Danio rerio: one gene and its partner. Each later gene encodes a partner of the first gene's protein in a complex. Links are inferred from orthologs where the notes say so. Each region holds a gene or a part of one and is shown in the gene's direction. Other genes may lie near its edges.

Region 1 (3,659 bases):
CGGTTTATGTTGTGTTTTTTGTTTTGTGGTTTTGTTTTGTGTTGTGGTTTGTTTTGTTTTGGTTGGTTTTGTGTTTTTTTGTGGTTTTAATGTGAATTTGTTTTCTGATGATACTATGGATACACGGCTAATATTTTTGATCAGGTCCTGCCATATAAAGATTTGTTATGGGGAACATATCAACGATCGAAAATCTCTTGAGGGGGGATTCTGGATACATATAAATAAAAGCACCACAATTAAATTAAAACATTACTTCTCGACCACTTTCCCCAGTATGAAGGAATTTTATAGGATTGTGGTCTTAAGGAAAGTGTCAGTACTGCCCTATTTATTAGTTACATTTTTAATTTTTATTTATTTAATTTTTTTTTTTTTTGTTATTCTTAATGTTTTTTGTTTTGTTTTTTAAGTACACATGAAATCAAAACTAACCATATTGAGTTAGTTAGCTCACATTGCTAGTTTTGTGGTGAACAATTCATCTGTGCATGTTGTTAGGAAAATTTTTTTTGCTATATACAAATATATATTTGATATACAGAAATATATTAGCAATTCTTAATCATGCAAGTATAGAGAAAAACAGTTTTCAAAAAAAAAATCTTATTCCCCAGCAGAGCCTTAATTTAAATATGGGTCTTATTGTCTTATTTCAAGTGCATATGTTCTGTTGCTACTCCTTTCAGGTGTATCATTTAGCCAGTGTGCGTCTGCGAGACCTGTGTCTGAAGCTGGATATCTCCTCAGAGCTAAGAGGGAAGATCTGGACGTGTTTTGAGCACTCTCTCCTGCACTGCACTGACCTGATGAAGGACAGACACCTGGACCAGCTGCTGCTTTGTGCTGTTTACATCATATCAAGGGTACAGATTTTAAATGCAGTAAAACATTAATATTTTTAAACATTGGTCGAAAGTTTTATTGTAATGTCTTGCTGTTTAATTGTTTATTTATTAATTCAATGGTTTTGCTATGAAAATAACCATTGTTGTTGCTATGATAATAAGGGTTGTAACGGTATGAATTTTTCACGGTATGATAATCTTCTAAAACAATACCACGGTTTGACGGTTTCACGGTATACGGTATACGGTATGTTACAAATGTTACAAAATAATAGAACAGTGAAGCAAATTTGACTTTTTCCAAATAATATATTTTTAGTTACTATAAACAACACCACTTACAATGAACAAATAAAAATAAGAAAATAATAAATAATGTGTCAAAGTCCAAATAAAGTCCAAATAAACATGGTGCAAATCCTTAGTAAAAAATAGATATAAATATTTACTATACTATAAATAGTTACATAACGAAACTAGATTCAATATGGAACATCCTTAGGTTTTATGTGCCAGCGTGGATATGGATGTGGTTGTATGCAATGCAGACAAACAGCTGCATCTTCATTTGCGTCTTTTGAAAACAGCAAGAGCAACAGTTTGTCTTTGCTGTGTCACTGTTTTGTCATGTTTCTGTGCTGCTGTGCATGCAAAAGTACTTAGTATGAGAATTATTTCATGCAAAACTTTTTTTTTTTGCGTTTTATTTAGCCGCGCATAAATGTATGCCTTTCTCTCATTCCGTGTTGTTCAAAAAGCTTGGTCCACAAACAAAAGCGAAACCTATGCTTATTGGTTGTGATATAGCGAGTTTGAACCAATCTGGGCATGGAGGAGGGACAATGCATCAATGTATCATGTCTGATTTGTCCGGAGACACAGTGACGAGCGTTTCTTTGTCAAATCAGCGTTGTCAAATGTTGATGACGTAACCGCACTGATTCCGGAGCCTCTGAAAGTCCGTGAATGTTATCAGCGGATCAAAAGTTATTAAACATTTAAGAGCAATGCTTATTTTTAGCCGCGGGCGGCTGTCTCGGTCTTTAAGGGTTAAAACCGTTGATATGCAATTGTTCATGGTATGATAATCGTGCACGTTCAAATCGTGGTAAACCGTCATACCGGTATATTGTTACAACCCTAGACATGACATGATATAATATGATGTATTAGTAAAAATCTAAAGGAATGTTATGAATATTTATAAACAAAATACTGCATTTTTGGCATAATTACAGCATCATGTTATTGTTCAGGAATAGTTTTAATATGCTTATTTGTTGCTCAAGAAAACCTTTATTGGTTTAATTTTAAAAACCATGTTGCTGTCTATTATTTTGGTCTTGTGTTTTTTAAATGCCAATATTTTATATAACACATTTTATTAATGCATTGTTTCTAATTAAAAACATTCATCACTTTGATAAATGAAAAAATTTATGAATAAAATGTATATAAATTACAATTTTACATTAAAAATCATTTAAATTGTGACATTTTTTTGCAGATCACGAAAGAAGAGCACACTTTTCAGGACATTATGAAATGCTACCGAACACAACCACAGGCCAACAGTCATGTGAGTATCAACTCTTAGTCTTTCTAAATGGCATAGAAATGCTTTAATGCACACAAGTGTCGAAAATCTTGTAATTTTAGCTGAAAGGAAGCACAACTCAGTCTTTGATATACCCACATCAACCATGTTTTGTGTGTTTGTAGGTGTACCGCAGTGTTTTAATAAAGAGGCGTCCCAAAGTGCAGCAGGCTGACGAGAACATGGAAGTCGATCCTCCAGCAGACCAGTGTAAGGACGATACAGACAAACGCATCTGTCTTTTAAAAAATAAATAAATAGTTCACAGTATAGTGCATTAGCATTCAAATATTTGGAGCCAGTTAGATGGGGTTTTTTAGATGTTAGATGGTATGTTTTTTAGTTGTAAGGACATGTTAAATTTAATAAAAGTGTCCTTCCTGTCACCTTGGAATAATGATGAAAAAGATTATTTGCATAAATTGCTATTTGTCCATCAAAGAATCATGAGGAAAATCTTTCATGATTTCCACGCAAATATTTTAGTTGCGCAGCTGTCTTGAATTTCACCAATAACAAGAAGTGTTTCTTGAGCACCAAACTCAGCATATTACAATAATTTCTGAAAGATTATGTGAGGGCTGAATGCTTAATTTGCATCAAAGGAATAAATAATGTTTTAACTATTCAATTCATCTTTATTTTTCTAGTGCTTTTACAATGTAGATTGTATCAAAGCAGCTTCACATAGAAGATTATAGTAAATTGAAACTCTTGTCAGTTCAGTTTTTGACTATATTTGTTCTCTTTAAAAGGGAAATACTTGGCTAATATGTTGCTTAGAATTATATTAGACAAATACAAGTGTTTTAATTTATTCTTATTTTAATTTTTTTATTCATTGTTCTGTCAATTATTTTCATTATAAATTATTACTTTTCACTTATTTTTAAGTCCAAAGAGAAATGGACTATTGTTTGTTTTTGTATTATTATTATTATTATTATTATTATTATTATGTGCTGTATTACTCTGGTTACTGAGCAGCAATAGATAACACTTTTCACAAATCACAAATTTGATTTTTCTAAAAAGTTTTAAAATCAATGAACGCATATTAATCGTGATACCCGTGATTATTCCTCAGACTATAATTGTACAACCAACATCTATAGTCATTGCATCCCTAAATAATATATATTTAGATCTCAAATGTACATGTATATCATACAAAGTATGTATAAATTTAAAAACACAAAGAGTTGAAGTCAGAA
Region 2 (3,659 bases), on another chromosome or scaffold:
ACATGTGGCACCAGTAGCAAGTTGACATGAAAACTGTTTGATTTGACAATAGGCAGAGGGCATTAAAAAAAAAAAAAAAAAAAAAATTATTATTTAAGTTTTTATCACTTAAAAATATATTATATATCACTTAAAAATATACTTATATATATATATATATATATATATATATATATATATATATATATATATATATATATATCAGTATATTTTTAAGTGATATATAATATATTTTTAAGTGATATATAATATACATATTATATATATATATATATTATATATCACTTAAAAATATACTTATATATATATATATATATATATATATATATATATATATATCAGTATATTTTAAGATCCAATGATGTGTTCTGTGTACATGGCCCCTTAGAACGATTAGCAGTCAATTAGAATCGAGCATTCAGCAGACCCCATGAAATAAGATAAATGGTAATGTGAACACAGGACTAAAACAAAATGAAAACCTATTAAAGAACATGCTTCCTGAGATTTAATTAGCTGACATTTAGTCAAGTAGCGCTCAATATTTAGACCTGTTGCATGACGCTCTATTGGGGCCCGGACTGACTCTTATCTTGAGGAGCCTCTAATCACTCAAAGACAGGCCGAACGGTGGTCAAGGTCAGAGGGAGATTGGGATAGAATGTCATGAAGACACGTCAGTGCTATTGAACACACTCGTCTTCAACTAAATTAGTCTCAATTGTCAATTAGTCTATAGTCAACTACATCCTGTCCCCTGAACTGAAGAGTCTTCCAATTACCTACTTAAAACTTCAAGCCTTTTGTAGGGCACTTTTTGAAATACTCAAATTGGAAGAAAAACAAAAACAAAAGTATTGCTGGAAGTTATTATAATGGACCTTTTATGATTAAAAATATATACGCGTTATAATCATTGTCAGGGAAGTTATGCAGGTTAAAGGTTTGCTTCACCCACAAAGTAAAATGTCATGCTCTACTGACCCTCATGTTGACTAGCATGCTGTAATATGACCAAATTTCTGTCCCTCTTTTAAAAGTCCAGACAACTAAAGATCATAATCAAAATGGGCCATAAAGGCAAATTAACAGAAATCCAGTGGTTGAATCCAACACTTATAAAGAGAGTTAATCACTTTAAGATAAACAGATTTAATTTAGGTTTTTATCACTTAAAAACACTTGACCAATTATGTTTAATGTAACAAAACACTTTTTTGATTCAGCATGACATCAAACATGAAAAATAATATACTCTGTCATACATGCAAATAATTATGCTTTGGTGTCATTACCAAGAAATAAACTAATATTCATATTTCCGGACTATTGGTTTACATGTAAAATGGGACAGCAGGTTATTTCTGTATGTTTTTTTTTTTTGTGTGTCTGTCTGTCTGTCTGTCTTCATCATCATCAGTGCTTTGGTCTACATATCTTGACCGATTCCAATTTCTTTTTGGTAAGCGTGCTGTGACCTGCTCATACCAATTTTTGCATAACTATAATATTAAAATCATTTTAAAAAACGTATAGTCCAAAAAATTAACCACATTAACAAAAAAAATACATTTGCTACACTTGACCCTGCCACACAGACTCGATGCAGAAATATGAATTGGTCTTAATGTAACTCTGAGTCTGAATTGTGTATTTAAGTGAAGGTGATTTGATTGCTATATTAAAGTTGGTTACGCCAAGGTTTGTAAGGTGGTTGTGGCTGCAAATCATGAAAATAGTCCCACATTTATACACTGTGGAAAAAAGTTGTGCAGAGATTTGTCATTTGCAGCTGTAAGTGTAAACGCGGGTGTCTCTGACAACACTGCAGTAACACTTTCCAACGCTAACAGAACAGCTTGGCTGAAATCAGGCCAGGTCATGTGAAAAATTGGCCAATTCCGGTTCCTGGCTGGTCGGTCATGCATATTTCGCTGTGTTGTACCAAAACATGGATTAAGTTTGAAGTTGTTGCCATCCATATCCTATTCATTCACTTACTTTCCCTGTCCCTAAGCTGCAAAACATGGGTTTGTCGTTTAGTAATACTTGAGTCACATTGAGCACTCCTATAAAAGTGATGTAGACGTAGAGTGTTCTGAAAAAACAGGGAAGGGTCTCAATGAAATGCGGCCACAAGATGCCAATATTGTTTCTGGCTTGAGAAAATGCATGTTAATACTGGTATGTAACAGCTCCTTCATTTCCTTTTCAAAGATTAATCTTAAAGTCTTTCAAGTTTAGAATGACATGAGCATTTATAAGCGATGACAGGATTGTAGTTTTGCGGTGATCAATCCCTTTAACTGGCCAGAGCAGGTTTGTTAATAGCATTGTCTCTCCGGTTTTCTTCTTTGGTCTCAGCGTGGTGATGACTGGATCATACAACAACTTCTTCCGAATGTTGGACCGCACCCAGCGGCGAGATGTCACCCTGGAGGCTTCGCGCGAGAGCTGCAAGCCCCGGCAGGTCCTCAAGCCGCGCAGGGTTTGCGCAGGAGGCAAGCGGAAGAAGGACGAGATCAGCGTGGACAGCCTGGACTTCAACAAGAAGATCCTACACACCGCCTGGCACCCGCAGGAAAACATCATCGCAGTGGCAACCACCAACAACCTCTACATCTTCCAGGAAAAAGTGAACTAATACTGTCATCACGGGGAAAGAAAACCTCCGAACCTCTCTCGCTCTATGTGAAACCAACAAAAAAAAGTTGAACTAGCAAGAATCATTTCTGTGACAACCACCGTCATCACATAAACCAACCTTGGCCTACTCCAGGACAGGATGAACTAGTTGAGCCAACTAGCGGCTGCCAATACTGAGATAACTGGTTCAAGCTGGTCTGGAGAAGAAGCGCAACCTGGCTTTGGCCTCTGTGGCACCATGACATGCGCCTTGCACTGGTGATGTTGTGCCAACCTGTGTCTGTACCCTCCATCCCTTTTCCCCTTTACCCACAAGTCAGTCCGAGCCCAGGGATGAAATGGGCAGCAAAGCTCTGACAGATTTCAACCAGTTTTTTTTTTCTTTAGTTTTTTTTTTTCTTTCATTTTTTTGGCTTCGGTTTCTTCAAGGTGTCTGTATAAAAACTAATTTGAACTCATATGGATGTGTCCCTGTGTCCTTTAATCCTCGATGTTGTTTGTGCCATTGTAACCGTTTTTAAACTCTTTTCAGAGAAACTGCCAAGTTGTTTAGTTCATTTTAATTCTGTTTCAAGAATAAGTGTCTCTTCTTTTTTCGTTTTTAGATTTATTTCTTTTTAGTTTACTACTCTATACATTTCATACTGTCCCGTTCCACTCCATACAGCTACAAAATGGTTTCAGCCACGTTTCGTTTCAGATATCCATGCACCATGGCTTTGGCCCAAAGAGTTTTTTTTCTTGTTGGTTTTCTTTGTGGCACAGACGGCACTGCCATGTTTGCTGTAGTAGTTGACCTTCTACATATGTTCAAGCACATACACTCCCAGTTGGACTGCTCACTCATGTACAAGTCATTCAGCCTTACAGGGTTTATTTTCCTTTGTGACCCATGCCCGATTTCTGTCAACACTCTTCTCTATCTCAAGAGTTACAGTTTGAGAAAGATTATAGAGATTATGATAACGAAATGGTATTTATAAACGGAACAAACAAATAAATGAGTCGTGTCC

Evidence for each region. The genes of interacting proteins can lie anywhere in the genome.
Region 2: the proteins of rbl1 (region 1) and ppp2r2ab are in contact, whole or in part, in a cryo-EM structure (PDB 9C6B), measured with the Homo sapiens proteins. The link is inferred for Danio rerio from reciprocal best matches to the Homo sapiens genes RBL1 and PPP2R2A. Residues at the interface, in NP_002886.2 of Homo sapiens: Ser615, Pro616, Leu617, Met618, His619, Pro620, Arg621, Val622, Val625, Arg626, Ser629, Leu632; in NP_002708.1 of Homo sapiens: Lys88, Tyr178, His179, Asp197, Leu198, Met222, Glu223, Glu224, Leu225, Thr226, Glu227, Val228, Ser247, Arg278, Ser279, Phe280, Phe281, Ser282, Glu283, Ile284, Ser287, Tyr337, Phe343.

What each region holds. Positions count from the first base shown.
Region 1 is NC_133181.1:54,202,514-54,206,172, reverse strand, and holds part of rbl1 (retinoblastoma-like protein 1), read left to right. Parts: intron 1-689; coding exon 690-866; exon of another isoform or gene 867-1,020; intron 1,021-1,992; exon of another isoform or gene 1,993-2,355; coding exon 2,356-2,427; intron 2,428-2,570; coding exon 2,571-2,655; intron 2,656-3,659. UniProt on the Homo sapiens protein: Key regulator of entry into cell division. Directly involved in heterochromatin formation by maintaining overall chromatin structure and, in particular, that of constitutive heterochromatin by stabilizing histone methylation.
Region 2 is NC_133185.1:23,776,115-23,779,773, forward strand, and holds part of ppp2r2ab (serine/threonine-protein phosphatase 2A 55 kDa regulatory subunit B alpha isoform), read left to right. Parts: intron 1-2,364; coding exon 2,365-2,644; 3' UTR 2,645-3,659. UniProt on the Homo sapiens protein: Substrate-recognition subunit of protein phosphatase 2A (PP2A) that plays a key role in cell cycle by controlling mitosis entry and exit. Involved in chromosome clustering during late mitosis by mediating dephosphorylation of MKI67.